4 linked regions of the Notamacropus eugenii genome follow. The protein of the gene in region 1 interacts with the protein of each later gene in a biochemical or structural test. Links are inferred from orthologs where the notes say so. Each region holds a gene or a part of one and is shown in the gene's direction. Other genes may lie near its edges.

Region 1 (7,105 bases):
TCACTGATAATGATAGTGGAACCACAAAGTTTGGACTTTTACCTCAGTATTCACTGATATTCCATACAAGAAATAATATTGGCATTGATAAATATGAAGGTGGAATTAGTGATTGAACCTAACTGAAAATATATAATGAAAACACCACAATTTTTAAATTCCCTCAAGCATCAGATTGGGAGATTTGCCAAAAAGGAGCTTTTTTTTTTTCTAGCAGAAACATGTGATAGAACAGACATCAACAACCACTGACCCATACACTTGCCTTTGAATCTCTATAAAATCTTTCTGAGACTAGTTTATATAAACATGGAGAATAATTTTGATAAAAACAGATTCGATATCATCAGAATTTTGATTTTCTACCTATATGCCTATATATTTACGGTTATACAATAGTCAAAGAAGAAACATTTTTGCAGAGTTCAATCAAGGTCATGAGAACAGGTTAGTAACTATATGAGGGCAAGTAAATTTAAAAAGTCAAATGAGAGTAAGACTTTTTCTTATTTTTTTCCCTGCTTCAACTAATTACAATTCTCAAAGATCTCCCAACAGAGGTATGTGAGTGGAGTTAACAAATAATGCCCTGTATTCCCACCAATCACTATCTTAAGATCCCAGGGAAATGAAGAAATTAGGGAAGGATCACAGACATGTCAAGAGTTAAGCTATTTCCTGTATGTAAAAGAGAAGCTGGGAAGTTATTTTTCTTTCTCCTTGCTCTCCCTGAATGTTGATCTGACACCATGTTCATTCAGCTAGAAAGGAAATGGAGACTTACTATAAGACAAGAATTGGATATTATGCATATCTCCTTGCAGTATCATGCAGTATCTGCCTGAAACTAACTCCTATTCCAGATATCTATACCTATGCCAAAGTATTGTGTAGAGGCTTAGGTGGAAAGAAGAAAAAATATGAAATCATCCATTTTATTTACATGTCATTTTTCCTCCCATCTCTACTTTCAGGCAAATATTACAAAATAATGGAATAAAGGCATATCATCTTACTCAAAGTACAATAAAGAGTTTCTTGGAAGTCATTTGCTATTCAGGAACAACTAAAAAGTTCCATGAAAGCTAAGAAATTACAAGAATAATATGGATTTACTATTCACATAATTTATATTTATGGTATATTTATATGTATGGTATATTGGTACATAGAATGCTTGACTATATACATATAGATTTTGAATGTAAAAAGATAAATTATATGGTTTTATTTTACAAAAACTTTACATTATCTTATTATTATTGAATATGATTACATATAAAGTATTTCTCCTTATACAGTCCATCTGTTTGATTCTGTGATTATGATCAGATTTATATCTATATGACCAAAACATTCTAAAAGGAGCATCAGGAGTTCCCATGGTAACTCTTTAGGATAAATTGCCATATGTTTTTAATATGGAGCGTTGTAATTGTGACTTATTTAAAGACTGAAAAATCGGACACAAGAACTGGGGGTGAGTTGAAGAAGAGAAGTTGCCCAGAGTTTTAGATTATTATGTCACTGAAAACTGATACAAGCTGTATCCCATTCATTGACTGAAGATAAACCTTAGAAAAGACACTCTTTGGAGTTAATAACTTCATAATCATGGGAAGGTCTATATTGCTGAAAAAAGAAATGGTCAGGTGTAAGTGCCAGAGAAATGAAGAAAGTCCTGTTGGTCCAATCACACTTAGTAGGGTGCAGGCTGCTACTACAAGTTGCTCACACATATTATTTACCTCCCTTTTATTTACCTATCTTTTCTATTACTTTCAAATAAACTTTCTGTATTTTGTTATTCACAGAAAATGTTACTTTCCACCAAAAGGAATAACAAGAAATGACCCATGTTTTCAGAATCACTTTGGAGATATATTAAAGCAATAAATAAAGGAAGATGCTTACGCCTCACAAGAAAAGGTATTTATAAGAAATCTTCCTCAAAGGAATTGTTATTTGAAGATGGAGTTACATTTGTGAAAAATAAAAGTACTGAAATATGTGACTTTACTAGGCCATACACTCTTTAGGAGAGGTTATGCTAAATAACAAAAGGTCTAAGTATGTTGGAAGATACAGATTTGTATTATGAATTATGACTTTGTAATGAGCATGAACTAATGTCATTAAAGAGAAAACAGAAAATGTTTTATACAGTCTTATAAAATTCCAGTAAACTAGTAAAATAGGTTATGAACAAGGAATTATGAATATTAGATAAAAGAAAAATAAATCATCTTCCTAAGTGGAATAAATTTGGTACTGTATGTTGGTGATACGTGAGAATCTTTTGACTTTAAGTATAACTTCTACTTTATAATGAAAAGAATGAGGTTTTTGTAAACAGAAATGTATTGTTTTCCCAAACCTCAAGAAACACAGACATAGACACACACACACACACACACATTCTAAATGAGACACTATGTATAACATCATAATAGTCTTGTCCAAAAGGTAGTCATTTCATAAACTTACTGTATGAGTAACACATAGATACAAATAAGTATATGGGTTTAATGTAACATTAGAGAAAAGATAAATTCCAGTATAACTACTCAGATTCTACCAGTGTAAGTTATACAACTTTGAAAGCTGTTTTAGTTACTTGAAGTTCTATTCCCAATTATGTGGTAAATTTAGTTTGTTATACTTAATTCAAAATCATTTATCAAAGAGAGGCATAATTTATTAATTAAGCTTATGTAAAGAAGTCATCCATACACTTTGTTTTACTGTATACTCCGACTATTTTCCCTCTTTTTTGCTCTTAAGATTATTTTATTTCTAAAGAGCACAAACATAGTATTAAAAATACTATCAAAATAATATTTTGATTATACCAATAGGCAGACATAAATTTGATTAAAATCTAATTGAAAGGTCAGTTTTTGGGCATCTTTGGAGGGGGCCAGGCTTTTAAAGTTTGTATTAGGAAGAACAGTTGAAATATTTTGTACTTCAGTAATACATCCATATTTAATGGGGGTTTGGACAGCTTAAAATTTTCTGCTTTTAATATTATTTTGTCTGATAGTTGAGTGAATTTATGTCGGCTTGACAGTTTTACAAGAGATTCATGTAAAACTCGGAATTCATGAAGTGAAAGGTCTTGAATCTGGGGTGGGGGCAGGGGAAGGAAATCCTCCTCAGACCAGCAGCAGCTGGAGCAGGGTGGGAGGCCTGAAGACTATCAGGTGAGATCTTGGGAAGGTGCTTATCAATCAAAACGTTATTTTTTTTATTATTATTCAATCACCGCAGGATGACGGGCACCGCGTTTCACTTGCCCCAACCCTTTCCGGATAGCGACCGTGCACCTGTATCTCCGTGTACCCTGCCTGATTCGGAGAGAGCGCATGGAATCGAGGAGATTTATCACTTACGACTGAATTTTTCATCATGGCTTTGACAGTGAAGCCGTCAGAAACCAGGGTGTGCGGCTGGTGCACGGGGAGTGGCTGTGGAGGCTGGAGTTTGGTCCTCTTCATCATCTTCTCTGGACTTTTATTTAGATTCAGGGTCTCTTTTTCTGCCACCATCTTCCTAGGAAATGTCTTGTTCCCACATCCAGGGCTTTAAGAATGACTGGGCGGTGGAGGGGAGGGAGGGAAAGACACAGCCGGAGTGGGGTTATGGAGAGTAAAAACGGCACTGTAATGGTAATGAATTCAACCCTCCAGGTCCTGCCCGGGTTTGCTTCTAGTTCCAGCTGTTTGGCAGCTCCAAGGTGAAGAGGGAGTTTGGGGAAGGGGAGGGGCAGAAAGGGGGGCAGGACCGTATTCTGCAGCTGCAACAGGCTTCCAAAGGTCCTCAGCGAGGTTGCTAGGCAACGTATCAACATCGCAGCGGAAGTCTCCCAATGACGTAGCCATTCCAGGCCAAGAGCCGGCAAAAGGGCGGGGGCGGGGCGGATTAGAAAATGAGCGGCAGGTTCCGCACTACATCTCCCAGAAGCCCTCAGGGACGTGTGCGTATACATGCGCGTGCGCATTACCTCCTCTTCACCCCCCCCCCCGCCCCCGCATCTTCAGGGGGCGGGGTAGGGAAGGGTCGGGGAGGGGGCGGGGACAAAGGGAGCGGGGAGCTGAAGGCTTTAAAGCTGTGAACGCTGGTTGTAGGAGGCGAGCGCGGGCCCTCGGGGCAGGCCGCTGCGCGCATGTTAAGCCTCCTTCGTCTGTCCTTAGAGCCACCACCTGCCCAGTGACCATGATAGGTACGTGGGTGTTCTCCAGGTACAGCTGCTTTCCGCCGCCTCTTCCCTCCCCCACCATGTGCTGGTTCTTGACGCAGGTGTGAGACCCTGCTGGTCACTGTCAAGGACGGTCTGGGTCACCTAGCGAGGTGAGGGGTGCTCTGAGTGTCCCAGAGCCCTGCCCCTCCCAGTAGAGGCCAGAACAGGCGATTCTGGCCTTTGGCTCCCCTGGTTTTGCCCCCAACTGAAGGCTGAAGTGCCCCCTTCCCCCGACCCCCAGCCGATACGCAGGTGCTGAGCCCACCTTTCCTTTCCCCCGCGGGTTGTATGAGACCACTGCTCCCTTCCCCTGAAAAGGAGGCCAGCCAAAGAACGTCACCCTGAAAGTGCCCGCTGGAAATTGACCCCGACCCCCGCAAACCCTGCCGACCTTCAGAAGCTGTGGAGGTTTTCGAAGGTCAAAGGCGCCCCTGGTTTTCTCATGCTCATGTTTCCTCCCCATCACCACCTGTCCTCCCCCACCTTCCTTGCCCTAATCTGTCTGCAAGCAACCTTTGACCATCCCAGGGAGACCCCCAAGAAGCAGGACACGAAAGTGATAGGCTTGCAGTGACGTCAGCCTTGCGGAGAAAGGTTGTTCCCACGTGGTCTTTAAACTTCTCGAAGTCTTTGACTAGCTTTTCTTAATGCCCTATTTGAGGGGGTGTTTTGAAGTCTAGGACAAATTGAGATCGGTGATAGATGGAAAACAGCTTTTAATTTTTTTTTAAGTTAGAGGTATTCTTAGTATTGTTAGGCAAAATAGTGAGCAAGTTTGTGTTTGTTTGGTTTTTTTACCCCTATAAATTTGCCCCTAAAAATTAATGGAAAAAAATATGCTTAGGACCATCTTTACGGGACTATCAATGACTTCTCACAACCAGTGTTTGGGGTTTTATGGAATTGGTTTCTGCATTATTGTTGGCACATTGAGAATTACTGATACAGTATCTTTAATTGTTGCAAGTGAATATTCGGAGCCAGTTCCATCCATAAATGTTCAGAAAACATATTACTGTGTTTATGTGTGGTGCTTGTTTATTTTTAGAGAAGCTGTCCCTTCTTAAACATTTTAATTTTATTATAAAATTAATGATACAATGTAAAAGAATATTCTTCCTGTCACTGAAGAAATAAATACCTGAGTATCATATTCCTTTGGGACTATGTAGAAATAAGCTATGTTGAGTTTTGGAATCATAGTCCTTTCCTTACCCCTTCTATCTTGGTACTGCTTTCCAGTCAATGATTCATGGAAATTAATGTTTGAAAAATATTATTAATAGCACACATTTATATATGACTCCTTAGAGTTTACAAAACACTTTCCCTACTACTACCCTGGGAGCTAGATAGTGTTGACATGAATGTTTCTGTTTTATGGAGAACCAGAAAGTTAAAGTAACTCCCATTGTCTTGAAGCTAGTGGTAAAACTGGGATTACAAACCAGTTCTCTTAATTCCAAGTCTAGCAGGTAATTGTCACAAACCAGATTAAGTTAATGTTTTATGCAGACTACTCAGGCAACATGTAAACCTTGACAAAGGTAAAAAACAAAGTCCAAAGAATAAATATTTACAATAAAATTCACATTGGGAATAGGTCAGGAGGGGGGAAAGAAATACCGGTGCGCTGATTAGGAAAGTTTGGAGTACTTGGTCTAATGTACTTTGGATATTTTCTGAATTATGAATTGCCATATTTTTTTGTGCCTTTTAATTAGCAACCTTTCCACTGTACTCCACTATTTTATGTTTCAGTGAATATGATGATGGACTCATGACCGGTAGAGCATATAACCTGGTAAATTTTAACAAGCCAAAAGGATTCTGAATATGGCCCAATGAAGGGCTTTTTATTTGTATTCTGGGGATCATCCTAAGTATATCAGAGAGTTGGCTATAGAGTGATCATATTTATTTGGCTATAGAGGCTAAGACTAAGTCATGGCTAAGTGGGAAAAAGTGTTGGATTTGAAGTCAGAGAACCTGAGTTGGAGTCATAGCTCTGCTTCTTACAGCTTGGGTAAGTCATTTAAGTCATCTGGGCCTCAGTTTTCTCTTATGTAAAATTAGAGAAGTTGAACTGGAGTATCTTTGAGGTGCCCTGTAGTTTTTCATCTGTTGTCCTATGCAGTCAAGATTAAAATATGACTCATAGAGGGGTTGCAATAAGTATCAATGGAAGAAGGACCACATCAACAAAATTTCAAGCCCCTGAAGTGTTGGAAAGTAAGGAAAATCAACAAGTTTGAAAATAGCCATGTGTGTATATTTTAAATAATTATATATTTATAAGTATACATATATAAATATCTAAAATTATTACAATTGGCTTCAGTCTAAGGAATTCATTTAACCCTAGATTATCAACTGAAAAGTGATTATGTAATTAAAAAAACCACAGTAGTTGGACAAAACACGTCCCATAGTGTTCTGGTGACTTAGGGAAACAAGAAATGAATACCATATATATATAGCTGATGCTTTGATTGCATGATGTTGTGACCCTCATGAATGATTGCTTGCAGATGCCTCAGAATAGTTCTTTAAAAGTTTCTTTTTTAACATAACAATGGCAAACAAATGATTAAACATGGGGAAAGAGGGAACATGTTGTTACAGAAAGTGCTAGGAGTCATGAGACCTGAGTTGAAATTTTAAACTCTACAGTTTCTAGTTATATAACTGTGGACAAACAATTTAATTTTTTCTGAATTAAAAGTCCTCTCTAAAATGGCCATGTTACTTGTACTATCTGTCACAGGGTTTTTGTGGGAAAAGCACTTTGCAGACTTACTGTGAATTACTTTAAATGCCATATGTAAAAAAGCCAAGAGGGCATCAGAAGATAGAATGTGG
Region 2 (7,038 bases), on another chromosome or scaffold:
TCCTGTCACAGACCAAATCTGATGTGTAGCATCAAATCCATCTTTTGTCCTATTGCCCAAGGATGGGCCCAGGTGTTCACCGTCACATCAGCCCTTGTCAGGATCAAGGAGGCAGACAAGGAATCTATTTATGTTTCAGATCAGTCCCTGCATTGGCTGGTCAGCCTCTGAAGAATGGGGGACCAGGGCTGGTATTTACACACACACACACACACACACACACACACAGACACACACACACACACACACACACAACCACACACACACACACACAGAGCTACATTTTCATTCATTCATTCACTGACTGGCTCTTTGGCCAACATGGACAGTTTGAAATAAGAGTGTTTGACATTAAAATTTAACAAAACCAATAATGAGATCTTCTGAGAGTATGTATGTATGTGTGTGTGTTGAGTGCATTCCTTTTAAAGGGCTTTAGCTAGACAGTTAAAAATGCAGGGGTTGCTATGCTGGGGAGTTAGGGACATTCAGAGGAAGTCTTTAATCCCACAAGGCTGACCTCAGGGAACACAGCCATTCTCAAAACAATCCTTGGCACTGATGTTAGAGACAGGATGTTATTGTGCTGACTGAATAATTAAATTCAGCTACTACTGAGTTTCTCTACTAGTACTACTAGTTCTCTACTAGTTCCTCTATTAGTAGAGGAAACTCTACTAGTTTCCTCATCTGTAAAGTGGAGGAGGGGTGGCCTAGGTGGTCCTAAGGTCCTTCCAAGGTTTTTTTCTATGGTGCTGCAAATCATGTCAGTGCCCTGGATCTCAGTTTCCTCATCTGTAAAATATAATAATAATAGCATTTATATGGTGTCTATTTTGTGCCAGGCACTACGTGAAGCACTATATGAATATTCTTTCATGGGATCCTCACAACAATCATTGAAGGTAGGTGCTAGTGTTATCCCCATTTTAAAGTTGAGAAAAATGAGGCAAGCAGAGGTAAAGTTACTTGCCCAAGGTGACACAGCTAAGTGTCAGAGACTGGATTTGAACTAGGATCTTCCTGATTCCAGACCCTGCACTCTAAGGTCCCTTCCAGCTTTAGCCCCTATGATGCTATTTCACTTATCTTCCCTGGAACTTAGTTTCCTCACTTGTAAAATGAGGGAATTCGACCAAATGGTTCCTGAGGTCTCTTTTTGGCTCTAGATATACTCTGTGCTGTGTGACTAGGTGCCTAGCCCTGTGCTGGATGCCGTGGAGGGAATCCAAGATCTCAAAGAAGGAAGGAACCTCAGGGGCCACAGAGTTCAACCTGTCCCTGACCAAGAATTCCTTCTCCACATCCTGACAAGCAGTCATCCTTCCAGTCCTCCACTGAGGACCTTCTGAGGCAGTCTACATCACTTCTGAATAGCTTGGATTATTAGGACATTTTTCCCAACATCAAACCAAAATCCGTCTCTCTTCCGCTCATTGTTCCTGCTTCTGGCATCTGGGCCCAAGCAAAACAAAGCTAATCCCATTTCCTCATGATGGTCCTCCAAATACTTAAAGTCACTGCTCATAGTTATTTATATGTAGAAATATAAATCACCCTCCTCCCCAGGCCTCTCACCATCTTCTTAAGGGAAGGGAGAGAGGGATGATTGGAACTGGTGTCCTTCCTGCTCCCAGGCATCTGCTGGTAGTAAACAACAGGTGAACAGGAAATTCTTGAGGAGCAATAGCAGGTCTCTTGTCTGTCTATAACCTCTATCCATATTTAGCTGGGAAATGACTCAACCTCTTTGGTATTTGGTATTTAATAATTTCTTCTGGAAAATGGGGACAGTAATCTTTGATCTACCTAAACCCTAGATAAAGCCTGAGTCAGATGGTCTTTTGAGTCCCTTTTGAAATGAGAGAGAGTTTGGGAGTAGACCAGGTGGTCAGCTAGGTCACCTGAGACCATGGGTTCACCTCTGCAGAGTCTGGTTTTTTTTTTATTCTACTCAGGGGTGGATCGGGCTCAGGGGAGCTGATTCATACTGAGCAAACTCACAAGGTCCTGATTTGTAACCTAGAGTGCCAGGTTATGAATTTATAGTGGAAGCTATGTCTAGTAAGATAACTGCAGAAGGCAGGAGACCAGATCAGAGGTCAGAAAGTTGCTCAGTAAGCGTAAGATTATAGAACAAAGGGAATGAGATATTTCCAGCAAGCTGCAGTAGCCAACTCATCTTCATTTTTAAAAGGTTTGTTGATACTCTTTAAATTGTATTTTCCAGTGACTCACCCTTCCAACCTAGAAACCTCCCTCATAACAAGGAAGTCAAACAAAACAAAATCAATGCATTGGCTGTGTCTGAAAATGTATGCCTCATTCCACAACTGTAGTCCACCACCTCTTTCAAAAGTATCACCAACTCATGTTTTTTTTTTCCAATGGAATCACAGGGCTTAGAACTTGAAGGGAGACTTTTTACAGATGGGAAAACTGAGGCTCAGGAAGACAGATTTTCTTTTCCCAGGTCACACAGCTAGTGAGTAGCAGAACCAGATTTCCCATCCTGGTCTTCTGGCTCTAAACCCGGGTGCTTTCCACCATGTGAAGGCTATAATAAAAATGAGAAGGCTTAATAAAAAGACTGTAATAAAAAACCCAAAAACTTGACAATAAAAAATAAACAACACTTCTAGAGTGCCCTAAGGTCTGTAGAGAGCTTTGTGCTAGGTAGCTTTGTCCATAGTGCATCAAACCTGGAGTCAGGAAGACTTAGCTTCTGAGATCAAGTCCTGCCTCAGACACATATTAGCTGTGTGACCCTGGGCGAGTTACTTTGCCCTGTTTGCCTTAGTTTCCTTATCTGTGAAATGAGCTGGAGATGGAAATGGCAAATCACTCCAGTATCTTTGCCAAGAAAACCTCAAATGGGGTCCCAAAAATTTGGACATGACTGAAGTGACTGAACTCTGTAATATATACTATCGCATAGTATATATTATAAATGATACTACATAGTATATGTAATACATAGACTTTTTATATATTTTATTCATATATTACATATAAATACATGATTAAATATATTTTGTGTAAAAATATATATAAATTTATTTATATAAACATATTTGTACATTAATGTAATATAATTAATATGTATAATTATTCATATTATATATATAATTCATATATAACAATATTTGTAGCAAATATCAACTAATAGGCACTTGGTACAAATATTATCTCCATTTTGCAGCTGGTGCATCTAAGGTTCAGTGGTCAAAGTCACTCAGGCCGGTAGTCAGATACAGTTAGGACTTGAACTTGGGTCTTCCAACTGCTGTAGTCTGGATAGGGATGTGGGGGTGCTGAGAACCCCAAAATCCAAGGGTCCAGGGCAGGGGTCTGCCTCCAAAGAATTCGACCACTCAAGAATTTCAGTCCAAGCAGCGAGTTTATTGTAACACCAAATAGAGGCTGGCCAGGCTCCTGGTGAGCCTGGGGTATTTGTGATATCAGTACAAGCAGTCCAGATTTTAAGAATCTGCACATTTGATGAGAATAAGATGGATATATTTGATATAGAAAGACTGTTGGAAGACCTGGATCGGATCTAGGAGTGGCAAGCAGCCTGAGGTGGTCTGGAGGTAACAGAGAAAGGGAGACCCCCTGGGATTAAGGAGTGTCAAGGAAGCTAGCTAAATCGTCAAGGTGGGCTGGGGTGGGCGGAGGCGGCCGGAGGCACCAGGGATCTGGGCTGCTGGAATGTAGGGGAAAATTCAGGTGCTTTTCCTTTTTGGGGTCCGCATCCTTTTAGGGGTTCAGGTTCCATCCCCATCACAACTGTGCATATTTGCATAAACTTACCAAACGCGTGCTGATTTGCTCCAAGGCTTCCCTTTCCAGGGCGGGTGGGGCCTGGAAGCCAGTCCTGGTCAGGCTCAGAAGGGTTTCTTTCCAGCGCTGCCTCGCCCTTGACAATCCCAGAGCAAGCCGGGGCCCCGCCCCTCGAGGAGGGACTGCCTACTCCTATTCAGAACTACGACTCCCAGAGTGCACGGCGGGCCATGATACCGACGTGCCCAGCGGAGCCGCAGAGCCTGGACTAGAGGCCGAGCCCCGCACGCGCCGGGGTCGCTCTGGACCCCTTCGGAGTCCGTGAAGATCTTCCGGTCAGGGAGCGGGAAGTCGGGGTGTATGTGTGGTGGGGGCGGGGAGCGGACGACGCGCCCCTCCCCTCCACGGCCTGACGCGGCCTGATGATGTCACGGCGCGTCATGGCGGCGGCGGCAGCCCGAAGAAGGTGAAGGTGAGTGAGCGGGGCGGCGGCGGCGCTGCTGGGGGAAGGCCGCGGGGGCCGGCGGAGAGCCGGGGCTGAGCCCCCGACCCCCGCCCGCATGCCCCAGCCTCACGGCCCTCCCCCGGCCAGGCCCGCGCCCCCTCTCTAGTCCTGGACCCTCCCCACTCTCCGACCGCCTCCGCCCCCATGCCAGGTCCCCCCCACCCCATGCCAGGCTCCCCCCCAGGCCCTTTTCCCTTCGTATCAGTGCCCTTCCTTCGTGCCAGGCCCCCCTCCCCTCCATGACAAGGTCCCTCTCGTCCGTGCAAGCTTCTTCCCCCTGCCCCATGCCAGCTCCCTTTCCCTACATGCTAAGCGTCCCCCCTCTTCTCCATATCAGTCTCCCTCTCTTCCCCAACCCCATGCCAAGCCCCCTTTCCCCCATACCCGTGCTCCTCCTCTGTGCCAGGTCCTCCCTCCTGTGTTCTTCCTTGGGCACATGGCATGCCCATGTGCCCACCTCCATGCCCAGGTGTGTTGTGATGCCCCAGGGTTAGTGAGCTCCTCCAGTCAGTCCCTGCCCTTGCTCTCCACCCCAGCTTGCTGGCACGTGTCCTTGCCAGAGGCCTTTCTGAGCCATCCGAGCCCGGGGTGGTTTTTGTCTGGCGTCCTAACCCTGCCAGAGGAGATTAGAGGAGCCTGGCCCCCGCCCCAGCCTCGGGGTGACCTCTCCGCCTTTGCTTCTTCCAGGTCTGGGGACTGGGCGGATTGAGCACTGCAGCCCGGGAGGGTGAGAAATGCCTGGATCCTTCCCTTCTTTTCCAGGCCAGCAGAGTTCATGATGTCAGCCTTGTGAAAACCATCCACCTCTGGAAAAGTAAGTCTTGGTTTCTCTGGGCCTGTAGTGCCTTAAACTGTAGGGGAACAGCCAGCGGTGGCTGCAGGGGCGACCCTGTCCCGGAGGTAAACAAGATTAGGAGAATATCAGAGATCCAGTGAGGGACCCCTTGAATTGACTCTTGGCACAGGGAGATTTTGCACCAGAACCCATTCTGTCTTTGGGAGAGAAAACCAAGTTGGGTCAGATCTTGTGTCTACTTCCGGTATTTGGGGCTTCCACCGAAATGTTATTTCACTCCAACCAAACAGAACTGATCTAGTGTGTTGTGAAATAAGGAAAGCAAGCATGTAAATCTAAAATACGCCCTCTTTGGCAGAGGTCTCTTTCCTGGTCTCTCCCTTCTCTCCGGTGCTGGGACTCTTCATCTTCTCCATAGTGTTCATTTCCTGACTTTGGCTGGAAAACCTCTCCTTCATCTCCATTCTTTTCATTTTTTTTCCGTTTTAATTTCTCAGCTTCTCCTTCTCTGTCTCAATTACATTGGTGTGGACGGTCCTGTGGATCCTTTTTTTCTCTTTTCCTGCTAGAAGTTGCTCTGCATAAAATTGGGTAAGAAAATGGTGTGAATTCAGGCCTTGCATTTCATACCCAAAGCCACATGAGAGATTTTTGCTTCATTCTCCTTTCTACATCCCCCAAGATACCTAACTGACCTCACTTAAACTCAGATCTGCCTGGGGGTAGATCATGCTCGTGGCAATTGAGATGTAGATTTGGGTTTGTTTCTGGGCTGTACTTAGACAGACCTTAACTGTTCCAATGAAGCCCTCTTTAAAGTGAAGTTGAAATGGCCTTGAATCAGGTAGGGTTTCAGACTTCAGCATAATTTTATCATCTAAGCGGTGTGACAGCCCTTGGTCTGTAGTAAACGTGGCAATAGTGATTCCCTAGCATTATGAACAGATCTGACCCATCCATGACTTAGTAGATATTCTCTAGAGAGTGGCCTGATGCACATAGACATTAAATGATCTGCCCAGGGCCACCCAGTTAAGTTGTAGTGGCACAACTTGAATTTAGATCTTTCAGACTCCAAACCCAGCATATTATCTATGGCACCCAGACTTTCTCTCCCTCCTGAAGTTATATGACTGTTATCTGCTTTATGCCCTAGGGAAGGGCCCCACTTGCCTAAAGCCTTGGTGGAAGTAGGTCGTTCCTAGGACCTTCCTCAAGAGCTGAAAGGGTGGTGTTGGAGGAAGTCAGGGTGGGGAGTTCCAGAGCTAGGGAAGGGAAGGTTTGTGTCCTTTTGTTTGTTCTGCCACATTCTTGGCTTCCTTTTTTGGAATAAATTCATGCTTGAGATCCTGAGTCCCAAATGTCAGGTGAAATGGAGCCAGTTAGATTTCATGGAAATTGGGGAGTTGAGGAAGTCAACATTTCTCCTGATTAAATAAATTTGTGCCAGACCAAGACTTGATTGGGTTGGCTAGGATAGCCAAGGGAGCGGGAGACACTTCCTATCCCAGGTGTTAACAAGATCAATTGAGAGCAACAGTTAGGAGCACCTGGAGGACATTCACTGCCCAGGAGTGAAAACTCTTAGGAGTTGTACGTTTTTTCTCATTCTCTTTACATCTAAGAATTTTCCATTTTCATTGAGCTGCTTTCATTTCATTTCCTTGGATAACTCATCTGCCTTTTGCTTTTCACTTGCCATATACTAAAACTTCTGGTTTCAAGCCCTTAAGTCTCACAGTCACCAAAATGTACCTCATTATAAATGCTGACTAGTTTTCAGGTAACCCACTTCCAGGAAGTAGTTTGTCCTCTGGGCAAGTAAGTATTTAGATCCTATAGGGAAAGTTGTTTTATTACAAGCCTCTCTGACTTTAGGGATTTGTCTCAAGGCCAAGTATTGGGTTGATGGAGATGGGGAGGGAAATAGGTTTTAATACTCTGGAATTTGGGT
Region 3 (7,452 bases), about 94 Mb from region 1:
CTGGTTTCATTTTAGAAACACATGGTCAAATTTCCAGTAAATAATTTTATTATCTTTGAATAGTTCTTAAATTGTTATATGACTCATTTTTAACTCTTTATGTTACTTCTCCCCAATATTATTTCAAGTTTGATGGCAGGAACTAAATTTATACTTTAAAAAACATCTTCCACAACTGGTACAATTCTTTGCACAAAGTAGGCATTCAATAGATATATAGGGAAAAATGTTATAGAATGTCTATACCTGACAGTTCTCCCCCATGCCCAGCCCTAGTTGTTTCCACGTAGACTGCTGATTGAAGCTATAAGAAGAAAAAATGTCAGACCAACTCCTATGAGATCCTTGTTTGATACAAACCTTTAAAATGTTTGAGAAAGTGTGGTATTTCTGGATAACATTTGAAATGGGAGGCCTGATGTTATAATTTTTTGTATCTTTTTTAAGAGTCAGAATGGATCATTTTATAGATGAAGAAACTAAGGTCTAGAGATGAAGGGAAATCTTATTTAAGATCACACAGTTTATTTAGTGGTAGATTTGAGACTAAAAACTCATGTCTTAGGATCATAGATTTAAAGTTAGAGATGATCTTTGAAGTCACTGAGTTCAGATCCTTCACTAATAGATGAGGAACTTCAGACACAGCAACTTGTTGATGGTCATACAACTAGTGTCAAAGCAGAATCTGAATCCCAGTTCTCCCTGACTCCAGATCCAGTGCTTTATCCACTAGGCTAGGCTGATCCATCAGATTTTAGTTATTCAATAGTTGTTCTCAGATTTATTTCCCATAGTGAACTGTAATGGTAATTTAAATGGGAAGATCTTTCCCATTCATTAATAAGTCCACGTAACCTGCTTAAATCACATGGAAGCCTAAGTCACATGTGGTGGGAGGTGCTTGCAGAATGGGTGGAACAGAAGTGGGAGGAAGTTGGTGAGAGTGGTTGGGGCAGAGGAGAGCAGATGCAGGCAGGCAGGCATAGCTAGGTTTGTGAGTGTTTGCTTGTAAGAAGGCCAGGAAGAGAATGGGGAAGGCTTGGGAATGGCTTTATCCCCTGCTGTGCTAATATGTATTGACTTCTTGGTTACTATGATGGATTTGGCTTTCTGGTGTCTGAATAAATGTTTTTCTTCTGCCTTCTATATTAAACTTTGTGATTCAGAACTAAGTTGGCATTTTTGTAGTGGCCCTCGATGCTGTGAATATTGCCTGGGTGATACAAGAACATAGTGAAATGTTACTTGTGTAATGGCTTTAGGGCCAAACCTTCATTGTGCTCACATCTGTAGGGTTTCTATAGTAAAAGGCAGTGCAACTTAATGCCACCCGAGTATCTATTTCCCCCTCTAAATGTAGAGAACATCACCCAACCTATGTGCTGGGGGCAAGAGGAAAGGGAGAAGGGTGGTGGCTATAGACTGAGGACGAGATTATAGTCATATTCCTCTTAGGTGATGGGGAAGAAAACAGTGGATTTCTCAACAGCACACTAATGGGAAGATGAGGTCTTCTTCAGTATGAGCCTATGCTTTAGACTAGTGAATCACAGGATGGGAAAGTACCTCTGAGGCCAACTAAAGTCTAGCTTCTACCCAAAAAAGAATCTACCTAGAACAATCCCAGATAAGTGATCATTGAGCCCCTAATTGAAGGAAGTTAGTGGAAGAAACTCACAGCCTTTGGATGCAGTTCATACCACTTTTGGTTAACTATAATTGTTAGTCTTTCCTCTAACATCCTCTAAAATTGCCTTTAGTTTTCCTGGCTTCTTTCAAGATTCAGCTCAAATCAGAACTACTGAAATAGCATAGCGAGCAGAACCAAAACAGAACCTGGAATCCAGAAGAGCAGAGTTCAAATTTGGCTCCAGATACTTCTTAGCTGTGTGATCCTGGGAAGTCATTAACCTTTGCCTCAGTTTCCTCATATATAAAATGGGGATAATAATAGCACTTACTTCCCAGGATTGGTGTAAGGATCAAATAAGATTTTTGTAAAGTGCTTTGTAAACCTTAAATCACTATATAGATCCTAGCTATTAAATCCTACACTTATGCAGGGAGTTTTTCTGGATTCCTCAGTTACATACCTAGTTATTTCTATGGTGTCACCTCTTCCGCCATTAGAATGTATACTTCTTGAGGGTAGGAACTTTCTTTTTGCACAGTGCCTGTAAGTACCTTTTTTTTTTTTTTTAAGACTATGTCTTTCTACATGGTGCAGTCTAGAAGCTTAGAGTTCACTCATAAGCCCAATTACATTACTTATTGGCATGAAAGCTTTGACCAGCTCCATTTTTGACCTGAACTGGTTCTCCCCTCCTTACGCAGCCTCCCCTTTCCCCTGTACCTCACTGGTGCTAGATTCAAACTACCTAGCCCTACTGAGGCTCAGAACTCTGGAGTTCAAGTGATCTTTCAGCCTTAATTTGCCAAGATTGAAGCATGTGCTAGGAGGCCAGGCACATAAGTGTTTAATAAATATTGTTGATTGCTTAGCCTGTAGTCACACTGGTGGTTAAGCGTCAAAGGTGGGATGTGTACCCAGGCCCACTGACTCTACCGCTAGTGCTCTTTCCACTACAGCACATAGCAGCTATGGGGCAGCTAGGTGGCTAAGTGGATTGAGTACTGGACCTGGAGTAAGAAGGACCTCAGTTCAAATTCAGCTTCAGATACTTTGCTGTGTGACTGAGCAAATCATGTAACCCTGTTTGCCTCAATTTCCTCATCTGTAAAATCAGCTGGAGAAGGAAATGACAAACCACTCCAGTATCTTTGCCAAGAAAACCCCAAATGGGGTCATGAAGAGTTGGACATGACTGAACAATGCAACAGCTAAAGTTGAACACTGTTGCTCTGTAAGAAATGAAAGTGAGGAATTCAGAGAAATACGGGAAGCCTTGCATGAACTGTAATGCAGTGATGTACGTAGACGCATAAAAACAACATACATAACTATGACAACATAAAAATTAAGAATAGCAAATGAAACCAAATTTTATGTAGTTACAATGATTAGATAACAACAGAAAAAATATATCTCCCTTCTTTCATTGAAAGAATCATATTGTACATGATCATATTAGACATTTTCCATGTGTATTGGATGGTTTTATTAAATTTTTTAAAAAAATTTCCTCACAAGGGAAGACTTGCTAGGATTGGGTGGGGATGCAGAGAGAGAAGGTATTTTTGTAAAAGATTACTTTGTAAAAGTTATCACTAAATCTATAAAATTATATATATATATAATGTTACATTATATGTATAAATATATAAACATTATATTAACATATATAAATTATATATATATATGAAACAATAAGAGCTAACATTTATATAGTGCTTACTATGTGCCAGGCACTATGTTAAACACTTTGCAAATATTATCTCATTTGATCTTTACAACAACCCTGAGAGATAGGTGCCATTATTATACCCATTTTGTTGTTGTTGGTCTGACTCTGTGACTCCATTTAGGGTTTTCTTGGCAAAAAGACTGGAGTGGTTTGTCATTTTCTTCACCAGCCCATTTTACAGATGAGGAAACTGAGGCAAACAGGTTTAAGTGACTTTCTCAGGGTCACACAGCTAGTAAATGTCTGAGGCTGGATTTGAAGTCATTAAGAGGAATCTTCCTGACTCTAGGGCCAGCACTCTTCTCATCTAGCTGCCTCTACTTTACCCCCCAACCTCCAGAAGCCATTTAAATCTTTTTGACTGATAGCTTTTGTTACTGTCACCTACATTCTTCACATATCCCCCTCCCAGAGGGCTATCCTTCACGGTAAATTCTATAAAACTAACCAACGCACCCAAAGTCCCATGTTCTATGCAATTGGACGCAGTCACAGTCTCCCACTTAGCACAGTGCCTGGTACATGGTATAAATGTCTGTTGATTTCCGCCTCCCTTCTTTGGGGTCAAGCTTGGTCCTACTTCTCAGCATTCAGTTTCCATCCATTTTTCTTTGTGCTATTTACATAGCTGTTGCTACTTAATCTCTGGTCAGTTTCCTCATCTATGAAACAAAAAGTGTCAGCTTCCATGAAGGGTTCGTAAAATCTGGTTTCAAGGGCCAAAAAAATAAATTCATCTTCATTTCAATAACCTGTTTTCCGCTGTAATTCCATATGCCTTATTTTATATTATATAAAACCATTATTTGGAGAATGGGTCTATAGGCTTCATTCACCACAGGGCCAAAGAAAGAAGGTTTGGCGAACGCGCCTCCCTTTAGTTACTATGTTACCTCGGGCGTGTCACTTTCCCTCCTCTGGACCTCAGTTTCCTCCCTCGCACAGTGAGGGGCGGGGTGGGTGGGTTAGACTCTACCGAGGACGGATCTCGGACTAGCCCGACCGAGTCTCCCTGGCCTGCAGCGAGCGCGGGAGGCGGCCCGGAAGCGTGACCACGTCGGGCCCACGGCCCGCCACGAAGTGACTGCCACGTCAGGATAACTTCACAAACCGAGCGCGGGGCAGGGAGCGCGACACCCGGCCCCGCATTGGGGGCGACGGGGGCGGGCGGGCACGGCGGCGGGACAACGGAAGCTCAGGCCGCGGCCCCACCCCCGGCTCTCCAAGCCTGCGACGGCCCGCAAGGGCCGGGCCTCCAGGCGGGGGCCGGGCGGGGCGGAGACGCAGGGCGGGACACTAGCCGGGCGGGCCCGGCGCAGGCAGCGAGGCGGATCCCCAGGAGGCGGAGCGGAAGGAGGCGGTGGCGGCGCGCGGAAGGAGGCGTTGGCGCGGCGGGCGGAGCGCAGGCAGGGAGGCGGAGCCACAGTCCCCGCCGCCGTCGCCGCCGCCAACGCTGCGTATCCCTGGCGCTCGCTGGGGCCGCCGGGGGCGGGGACTGGGGGACGCGGCTTCCCCGGCTCAGGAAATCCCCGGGGCCGGAGCCGGGGCCAGCAGCCCGTCGCGGAGCCGGGGAGCAGGAGGCGGTGGCGGGGCCGGAGCGGGACGGCAAAGCCACCATGGAGACCCGCTACAACCTCAAGAGCCCAGGTAGGGAAGGAAGCAGCCGCTCCCCTCCATCTCCCAGCACGCATGCGCGGGCGGACGGACGGACAGACGGACTGGCAGCCGGGGAGGCCTTGGGCCGCCGCCCCGCCACCTGTCACCGCCCGAGGGCCCCCTTCCTTACTCTAGTCGGATGTCCGGCCTGTCCTGGGCATGACCCCTCGGAGTCACCCGGGACCCGGGGAGCCGTCCGCTCGTCCACTGGCCGGCCCAGCCCGAGCTTATGGAGAGAGGGCCCTGCCTCCACCTCCCGACCTCGGCCTCACCCCACTTGGCCTTCTCCATTTCTTTTTCCTCTCCTCCTCATCCTTTTTAAAGGGGCGGCACCCTAGAGGCCGCAGGACACTGTGGGACCCCCCCGCAGGGCGCCCGCGCCGCCTCCTCGGGCTGCTGCCCTCGGACTGGACACTTCCCGGGCAACTTGGCCGCCCCGCCTTCTTGGCCGTGGTCGGGGGTGCTGGTCCGTGTGCGCGCTGGACGAGGCGTCTGCGGGGAAGTGCGGGAGAGACGGGAGAGGGGTCTGTGGCAGGTCTGGACCTGGACCCGCTCCCCAAGGAGAGCGCCTTGGTGAGGAGGAAGTCGGAGGACCCCTTGTGCCCTTGTGCAGCTCCCTTACTCTGCCCGGACCTCAGTGCCCTCCGCTGTAAAATAGTGGCGTTTCAGCAGGAGAACCCCAAAGGTCGCCTCCATCCCCCAAAGCTGTGATCCCCTGAAGATGTGGAGCTTGGAGCACCTACTGCCTGGGTGACCTTGGGGAGCTCACCTATCCTTTCTGGGTTTTAGTTTCCTCGTCTGTAAAACGAGGGAGTTGACCTAGATCTAGGATTCTTAAGCCGGAGTCGGATAGATTTTTTGTTTTGAAGTGGGGCTGGGTCTTAGGAACTTGGATGGGGAAACACATTGTCTATATTTTCACAAACTTTTGACTGAAATACAGTATTTCCTTCAATTATTTAAAAGGAGTCCATGACACAGAAAAGATTAAAAACTCCTGTTTTTAGAGTCATTTTCAGCTCTTAAATATTCCTTTGGTCTTACGTTGTTAGAGTCCACCACGGTTTTTCAACTTGAAAGCTTTTACTCATAGCATTTTCTAATAGATTATCTTTAGGTATTTGCCTTCCAACCCTGTCTGTGAAGTGAGTAGTGTGACTATATACATATATATAAGCTGGATGAATCCTAAGGTCCTATTAAACCCTGAAACCTTATAGGTCATCTATTTCATGCTACTTCATATGTTTGTTGTTGTGTTTGTACTTCATATATGTACATATTTTACATATGTGTATGTAGCTGTATTTATCTACCTGTCTACCTACCTACCCTTGGGATAAAGGATAATTGGGTTCCTGTCCTGTATTGAACACATCCTGGCTGTGGGATTCTCTAGGAGTGACCTAATCTCAAATACTGATACTGTAAGTTGCAGATCAGGTGTCTGCAGTTTTAGAGGGAATTTCCTCATCTGCAGTTGGAAACCATAGCTCCAGACTGTCCTGACCCTCAAACATATCAATCCATATCCAGTGTTTGAGAATGAGGGGGAAGTGGAAAAAGTCCACTGATAAGAATCAGTGAACAGGCACTTAAGTGCCCACTATGCCAGGCACTGTTCAAAGCCAAGATAAACAATGGAGTTTACATGTTAGCACTGTAGCTCACATGATAGTGATTATTATTCATGTACAGTGCTTTGAGGTTTTCAAAATGTTTTATACACATTATCTCGTTTAATCATCATGTTTACTCTGTTAGGTAAGTGCAACAATTATTCCATTTTTATAGATGAGGATACTGAGGTTCAGAGAGGTTAAGGTGATTTGCCCAGGGTCAAAGGTATTGTGTCTCAGAGTCAAGAGTTAAGTCTCAGAGTCTTCCTGACTCTAAGGCAGGTTCTCTTATAATATCTCTCAGTATAAATTTACCTTTTTAACAGATGAGGAAGGAGAGACCCAGAAAAATGAAATCTCTTATGGTCATATAGCTCTTAGGCCCTGACTTGAAACAGGAACCCAAAATTCTAAACTGCCAAGTCCAGAATTATTTCCACTGCAGAGTGCCTCCTGTGTAACTACATACATACCTATGTAGGCTCCCTTCATCAGGGGAGAAGGAATTCAAAGCAGTAAGTAACCCTGATGCCACTACTCCAGTCCCTTCTACAAATCCTTGGGCATATATACAGTAGAACATAGATGAATGCCTGTGAAAGAGCTGCGCCTTCATAAGTGTCTGTTGATTGATCACCAGGTACTGCCATTGCACTGGCAAAATTTGTGAAATGGTAAAAAAAAACAATGCAGTTTAAGTTTAATCTTTAGGAAATATTAATGGTTTATTCAGCTGTTGTTCATTCCCCTCTCCACCCCTTTTTCCAGTTGGTTTTTAGGAAACCAACGATCTTTATTTCAAGAACTTA
Region 4 (6,935 bases), on another chromosome or scaffold:
ATTCACAGTCCTCCACAATCTACCTTTCTAACCTTATCTCCCACTGCTTCTCTTTATGAACTTTCTGTTCTATTTAAACTGTATTTATTCTTCCCCAAATATTTTCTGAGCTTTCCTACTCTCATGGCTTTGGGCAGACCATTTTTCTCACTCTTTCTATGGAAATCATATCCGCCTTCAAGGCCCAGCTCAAACTCCCAAATTTTCTGGAAAGCCTCCCCTAACGCACTCGGCCAAAAGTGATCATGAACTCCTGTAACTCTTAGCAAACAGTAAACAAACATTTATTAAGTGGCTACTGTAGTAAGGTGCTGGATGAATAAAAAGAGTCCTGACCTCCAGGAGCTTATATTTTGTGAGGAGACAATCTAGTTACGTGTGGTATGTAAGATGAATATCAGAGTTAGAGGATCCATGATGAAGCATATCATCTACTTTCTGACCAAAGTGATGGACCCAGAGTTTGGATTGAGACATATTTTTTGAATATGCTGAGGTGGTTATTTGTTTTGACTATGAATGTTTATAACAAGTGCTTCTCCATGAACACAAACCCCATCCACACCTCCCCCAGCCCCTACAACGCACCCCAAGGGGAGAAGTCAATGGGAGGGGGAAAAAGGCTTTTCATAGAAAAAAAAATTTTTTTAAGCAAATTTAAGAGATAAATGCAAAGGGTGGGGCATTAACAACTGGGGAATCAAGAAAGCCCTTTTGAAGGATGTGCATGATTGAGCTGAGTCCTGTTGGAAGCTGAAAGTTCCAAGAAGGAAGAGCATTCCAGTCCTGGGAGGAGGCATGAATACAATTTGTGATGGCATGTTAAACTCTGTGACTACAACATTCACACTGACATCTCAAAGAGCACCTGACTATTCTACCGGATAGAAATCCCTGTTTATGTTTGGATACAAGATCAAAATGATGTTCCCTTACATTTCCCTAAGCTATCCCACTATGCTTCTAGCAGCTGCCTGGAGCTAGGATTCCCTCCTTTACCTTACAGTACAGCTGAGCACAGTTAAATAAGTCTGCTAACTTCTCCATGCACCTTGGGCATCCCTTATCCAAATCATTGCCCCTCCTTCTACTGGCCCACTCTCAGAATTCTTGGAGACTCACATATGATTTTAGCCTGATTATATCCCTTATCATTGACTGATCCCTAGCGAAGTCCTCATTTAGTCCTCATGTTAGAAGTCTCTAACATGCTGTGGAAAGAGTATTAGATCTGGAATGCAAGGACCTGGGTTTTATATCTCCATCTGCTTCTTACTATTTTACTAAATTTAGTAAATATTTCTTAAGTATGCTGTGGATAAATGAAGCTCCTGATCTCAGGGGAGAGTTTCAATCAATACATATTTATTAAGCACCTACCATGTGCTACAGCACCTTGGAAACCTCATCATTGGGAAATATCATCCTGCAAGACTGAATGAGCCTTGGTACCCACATTTCATTAGTATCCTCTATTTGTTTCATTGGAGCCATTGGCTTGAAGGCAGAGCCATAAGCTCCAAAACTTCCATTTAAAAAGGGGGCCCAGAACAATCATCTCATCATTTCCCACTGACTGCACTGATTTAGACTTTTTCCTCATGCCCACAGCTGGGCACCTTCTCCCACCCTCTTGACTTTTCAACTTCCTTTTTTGGGGGCTGTCTTTTCCCATTAGATTATAAACTTCTTTCGGGCAGGGAGTCTTTTTTTTTTAATTTGTATTTATAATCCCGAGTGCTTAGCACAGTGCCTGGCACATGGTAGGTGCTTAATCTTTATTAACTGATGACCATGATAAATGCTGGCACTACAAATACAAAAAGTGAGATTAGCCATGCTATCAAGGAATTATTAGAGGATCCATGCTCACAGATGAGTAAATACAGGACATGCCATAAAGTAATTTGGTAGGGAATGCTTAACAGTGAGGGAATGAGGAAACATCTCATGAAGGATAAATTGCACAGATTATGAAAAGAGTAAGGGCTTCCAAGGGGCAGAGGTGAGGAAGGTGAGCATTCCAGGCATGAATACAGCCTATGAAAGGCATGGAGGTGACTGAGCAGTGTGGCTGAAATGTAGATTGAATGAAAGGAATCAATTTGTAATCAACCTAAAAAGATGGTCTGGAGATAGACTGTGTAGGGCTTTAAATGCCAAACAGAGGAGTCTGTATTTTATCCTAGAAGGAATGAGTCACAAAAATTCCTTAAACAGGTAAGTAACATAGTTGGTCCTGAACTTTAGGAAGATCACTTTGGTAGCTTTGTGGAAGGGAGATTGGCACAGGAAAAGGATAGACGTAGGGAGACTGAATAAGGGCCTATTAAAACAGTTCAGATGATGAAGAGTACCTGTACTAGAATAATTGTGATGAGCGGTGATTGTGAGAGAGATGCTGAGGAAGTAGAATTGAATAAATATTTATTGAGTTCCTTTAAGTCATTTTTGGTCATGTCCAACTCTTCATGACTCCATTTGGGGTTTTCTTAGCAAGATACTGAGTGATTTATCATTTCCTTCTCTAGCTCATTTTACAGATCAGGAAACTGAGGTAAATAGGTTTGTGACTTGCCCAGGGTCACAGCTAGTAAGTATCTGAGGTCAGATTTAAACCAAGGTTTTCCTGACTCCAGGCCAGCGGTCTCTCCACAGGGTCACCTAACACTTGAATGGGCATATGAATAGAAAAAGCAACAGCCCTTGTTCTCAAGGAACCTACACACTAATTGGAGAAATCAACACATAAAAGAATGTTCAGTTGCAGGACAGATGGAAGAGTTTAGAAGTCCTAAAGGTGGAGTGTCAGAACATTTGGCAAGGCCCAGAGGTCCTTAAGATACATAAGTAGGTCCTACAATAATAGCATGAGGCTCTCCGGCATGTAGAAGCAGGCCAGAGTGGTCAGGAATAAAGGTCCTATGAGGAATGGATGCAGCTGTTCCAACATTCCATATTCTACATACTCAAGTTTGGTTTTGTTGGGTGTCTTCAGTGAGCCGGGTACCTTGCCACCTGCTAGTAGGGCCCAGCGTGAACTTCATTATTCCAGAGTCTGGTTTTGGACTCCTCTGATGGGGGACCTGGATCAAACATTGCACCTTTGTGTTTAAAAGTGGATGGCAAAACAGGCAGTCATGATTTTCTGCAGGAAGTGGTGAAAACATCCATAACTAACTCTAACAGTCTTTCTCCATATCTATACATATAAACATACACATATATACATGTACTTGTATACACACACATACACATTTATATGCATAAAATGTGTGTATACGCGTGTGTGAAATAGAATTTCAGCCTCAGGGATCAAAAGGAAGCATGTGGCTTTCCCCCTTACTGGAAACCTAGAAGGGCACTGATTCCATGAACTTAGGAATACCTACCCCCACGTTATTTGTTCGATCCCGCTGAGTTGGGTCTTATCAAGGTAGGATTTCAAGCTGGAAAGGGTGTTAGAGATAATTTAGTTCAACCCATCATTTTGTCCACAGTCCCTAGTGGTGATACCCACTCCATGAAGTTTTTCCAGAAAAATCTAAAGTAGAGCTAAATGATCCATTCACATCTCTCTCCCCACAGGCTGGCTCCTTGCAGTCCTTTTTTAAAACTTAAATTTTATCCTTAAATGTATTTGTGACAACAGAAGCCAGTTTTACTCTTCTAGGCCCTGCCTCGACTTCTCTCCGCTCTCCTTTTCCTTTCCTCTCTTCCTTCTGATTAAATTGTCCATAATGTAGAACTAAAGTACCTTTCTCAAACACTGTATTTATTGGGTAAAAATTCTGTGCTTCCTTTTTTCGTTTTAAAAAAAAAAATCGGATGATTTCAGCTGGAATCGGAGAACGCGGATTTGGAAAGAAGCTTGGAGAACTAGCCCAGCCCCACCCACTCAGGCTCCTGGAGGGGCAGCGGGGGAAGGCCAGCCGTGTGTGCGGGGCGGGAGGTCCGCAGCTCTGGGTCCTACCACGCACCATGCAGCCCCCGCCTCTCGGGCTGGCCGCCCGGCCTCGGTCCCCTCGCCTGTAAGGCGAAGAGCGCGGCCGAGGCCTCCCGGAGGTTCCCACGTGCTCCAACTTCTCGTCCATTTCTGGGTCCCTCGGAGCGCCCAGGACGTGGATCGGGGAAGCCCGGGTGCTAGTCGACGCTCCACCTGCGGCTGACGTGCTCAACAAGTCCATTAGCCTCACTTGGCGAAGGGGGATCACAGGGAGGACCCCAAGACATCCTGAATGCAGGACGCTCCTGGAGGAGCCCTCCCCGGGTGTCAGCCGAGCACCCACGTGGCCGCTTTGGCAGAGCCTCCTGCTCCCAGCACAGCTGCACCCGACCAAGCCTGTTTGTCCTCGGTCGTTACTACCGACACCTCAAGAACTCACTTCCCAGAACCGGCGCTCGGGCATGCATTTCCGCTCCACTTTGAATTCTGAGGTTGCCGCGCCCTCCCGGGCGCTTCTCTCTTTTTTGGTCTCTCCGCGGCCTGGCGGAGGCCTGCGTCGGTCCGCCGCGCTGGCGTCAGAAGTGACGTCATGGCGCGGCGAGGCCGCGGGGCGGAGAAGGGAACCCCTCTCGGGGAGGGGGGCGAGGGAAGAGGGAGGGGCGGACGGAGAAGAAGGGGCGGACTCCGAGCGGCAGCGACGCAAGATGGCGGCGACCACGGGCTCGGGTGAGCGGGGGCGCCGGGGCCCGGGCCAGCAGCGGGGGATGCGGCGCTGGGCCCGCACGGGCTCTGTGCCGCGGGGAACCCGGCGGGCTCCGCGAGCCGCGGCTCGGGGGAGGCCGGGGCTGGGCTCCGGGGGCCGAGCGGCAGCGGGGCCGCAGGCTGAGGCGGCGCCCGGGCGCCGGGGCCTCGGCTTTGGTTCGCGGGGCCTCTCAGCCCGGGGGGATCCGGGGGGCTGCTCGCGCTCCGGGCGGGCTGTGCCGGCGGCTGCCCCGGGCCCCGGGCGCGGTGGGTGTGTCGGCCCCAGCTGTGGCAGCCGCACCGGAGGCGGGGGCCGGAAGCGAGGGGCTGGGGCGCGGAGAGGCCGCGGGCACCGGAGAGGGGGTGGGGTGGGAGGATGGAAGAGCGCCCCGGGGGGAGGGGCTGCCAGGGGCTGGGGTCGGTGTGTTGGGGGGAGAGGAAGGGAGGGGGTCGGAGACCTTGCAGGGGTCGGTGTGTTGGGGGTACGGTATTGGAGGCTATGGGTTTGAGGGAAGGCACGGTGCACAGGTCTGTGTTGGGGGGGTACCGTGCAGGGTTCTTTCGGGTTGGGGAGGCGACTTTTAATGGTCTTTGTGTCTGGGGGGCAACCCTGTAGAAATCTGTTGGGGGGGACACTTGCAGAGATCTGGGGGGAGGGACCGTGAAGGGGGGGTCTGTGTTTAGAGGGGAACTTTGCAGAGCGGGGTGCGTGTGTGTTGGGGAGGCATGCGGAGGTCTCTGGTGTTGGGGGAGGAGGAACGGTGCATGGGGTTTGTGTGTTGGGGCACAGAGGAATCTTGGAGGGGGTGTGTTGACAGGGGGAAGAACCATGGAAGGATTTGTTGGGGTGGAAAGAGTGATAAAAAAGTAGTCTAGGGGAGAATTTGGTTTCTGAGAAATGGGGTGGGAGCAGGTCAACCCTTACACTAGGGGCCTTCTGGGATGTTAGGATCAGATTTGGAAGAGACAGGGTGGCTGGAAATTGCTGAGGAAGGAAAGAATCTAATTCAGAAGACTTAAGCACTGACCAGTGCCTTTGTATCTGATGGTACCAAAATTGAAAGCTCCTCGAGAGACTTAACTTTGGGGTGGGGGGCAAAGGATACATATATGTAAAAACAAAGTCATTTGAGGAGGAAAAGATATTGATTCCAGAGGTAATCAGGAAAGACCTCTACAGGTAACACCTGACTTGAACCTTGAAGAAAAATAGGGATTCCAGGAGGTGAGATGAAAGGTGGAAGTGAGGAAGCAAGAGAGGTTAGTGTTCTGGTTTCTGTATAATTGTTACTGTCATTTCCTTTCCAAGCATGATTTGTGCCCCTAAAGCATGTTTCTGTGATCATCCATCCCCATAAACAGCGAGGAATTGATCATGGATCCTATTTCCATTTTATAGTTTACAAAGCACTTTCCTCTCAAAGCCCTGGAGGGTAAGTGATAACAGCTGAGATGTGTAAAGTACTTTGCTTTAATCGTTTGATTAAACATTTGATTTTCACAACTTCCAGATAAGGTAGTTAGAGCAGATATCATCCTCATCTTAGAAATGAGAAAAATGAACCTTAGAATTGTCATGAGTCTTGCCTGGGAGTCATCCTCAGTAAACTTGGCATCTGAATCTTACTCCTCCTCCTCCTCTAATGACTGTCCACATCAGACAGCCAGAGCTGCAGTTGATTGATTTGATATTCAGTGCAATAGAATTTGACTTCTGAAAGTCGGAAAGGGTCATCTTAGAAATAGACTGGAGAAGATCTTGTGCTGGTTGCAACTTTAATAATGATGTATTAATGTACAAAGCTCCTGCAACAGGCACTCCTAGAAGAGAAAGGCTGAGTCAGGCCAAACTGCTGTGGGAAACTTCAAACTTGAATAACATCTCTGTCAGGTTGCCCTGAGTTGTAGTGTGTTATTGTGAACCCAGTAGCTATTGGTGTCATGGTGTTACAGCTTTGCCCTGTTGATAATTTCTTACAATTTTGTCTTCATGGACTTGTTTTTAACAGCCACCTTATTTTAACTTTTTGAGGTGCTGTTAATCGAAGGTCCTTTAACAAATGATGATACATTAAGATGAAACCCTTTGTGGCTGATGATGTAGATGTCTTAGAGAATAGTGAGCAAACCCTTCTCAGGGCATCTTTGCCTTTCTGTAACTTGAAAGCTGTTAAAAACTGATTTTGATTCATTGTATTCATACTAGCATAAATATTTTGTTTTAACAATGGATAGCAGTTCAGGCATT

What was found.
Region 2: of the proteins of PRKN (region 1) and MFN2, one has a biochemical effect on the other in vitro, tested with the Homo sapiens proteins (2 studies listed by BioGRID). The link is inferred for Notamacropus eugenii from reciprocal best matches to the Homo sapiens genes PRKN and MFN2.
Region 3: the proteins of PRKN (region 1) and UBE2J1 form a complex in vitro, tested with the Homo sapiens proteins (4 studies listed by BioGRID). The link is inferred for Notamacropus eugenii from reciprocal best matches to the Homo sapiens genes PRKN and UBE2J1.
Region 4: the proteins of PRKN (region 1) and UBE2V1 form a complex in vitro, tested with the Homo sapiens proteins (4 studies listed by BioGRID). The link is inferred for Notamacropus eugenii from reciprocal best matches to the Homo sapiens genes PRKN and UBE2V1.

What each region holds. Positions count from the first base shown.
Region 1 is NC_092873.1:256,731,368-256,738,472, reverse strand, and holds the start of PRKN (E3 ubiquitin-protein ligase parkin), read left to right. Parts: upstream 1-4,081; 5' UTR 4,082-4,218; coding exon 4,219-4,225; intron 4,226-7,105. Other genes in the region: PACRG (parkin coregulated gene protein), read right to left, coding at 3,396-3,551. UniProt on the Homo sapiens protein: Functions within a multiprotein E3 ubiquitin ligase complex, catalyzing the covalent attachment of ubiquitin moieties onto substrate proteins. Substrates include SYT11 and VDAC1.
Region 2 is NC_092876.1:51,427,413-51,434,450, forward strand, and holds the start of MFN2 (mitofusin-2), read left to right. Parts: upstream 1-4,030; 5' UTR 4,031-4,255; intron 4,256-4,975; 5' UTR 4,976-5,102; intron 5,103-5,581; exon of another isoform or gene 5,582-5,675; intron 5,676-7,038. UniProt on the Homo sapiens protein: Mitochondrial outer membrane GTPase that mediates mitochondrial clustering and fusion. Mitochondria are highly dynamic organelles, and their morphology is determined by the equilibrium between mitochondrial fusion and fission events.
Region 3 is NC_092873.1:163,063,550-163,071,001, reverse strand, and holds the start of UBE2J1 (ubiquitin-conjugating enzyme E2 J1), read left to right. Parts: upstream 1-4,429; 5' UTR 4,430-4,984; coding exon 4,985-5,015; intron 5,016-7,452. UniProt on the Homo sapiens protein: Catalyzes the covalent attachment of ubiquitin to other proteins. Functions in the selective degradation of misfolded membrane proteins from the endoplasmic reticulum (ERAD) and is essential for cells to recover from ER stress.
Region 4 is NC_092872.1:516,863,110-516,870,044, forward strand, and holds the start of UBE2V1 (ubiquitin-conjugating enzyme E2 variant 1), read left to right. Parts: upstream 1-3,930; 5' UTR 3,931-4,407; coding exon 4,408-4,672; intron 4,673-6,935. UniProt on the Homo sapiens protein: Has no ubiquitin ligase activity on its own. The UBE2V1-UBE2N heterodimer catalyzes the synthesis of non-canonical poly-ubiquitin chains that are linked through Lys-63.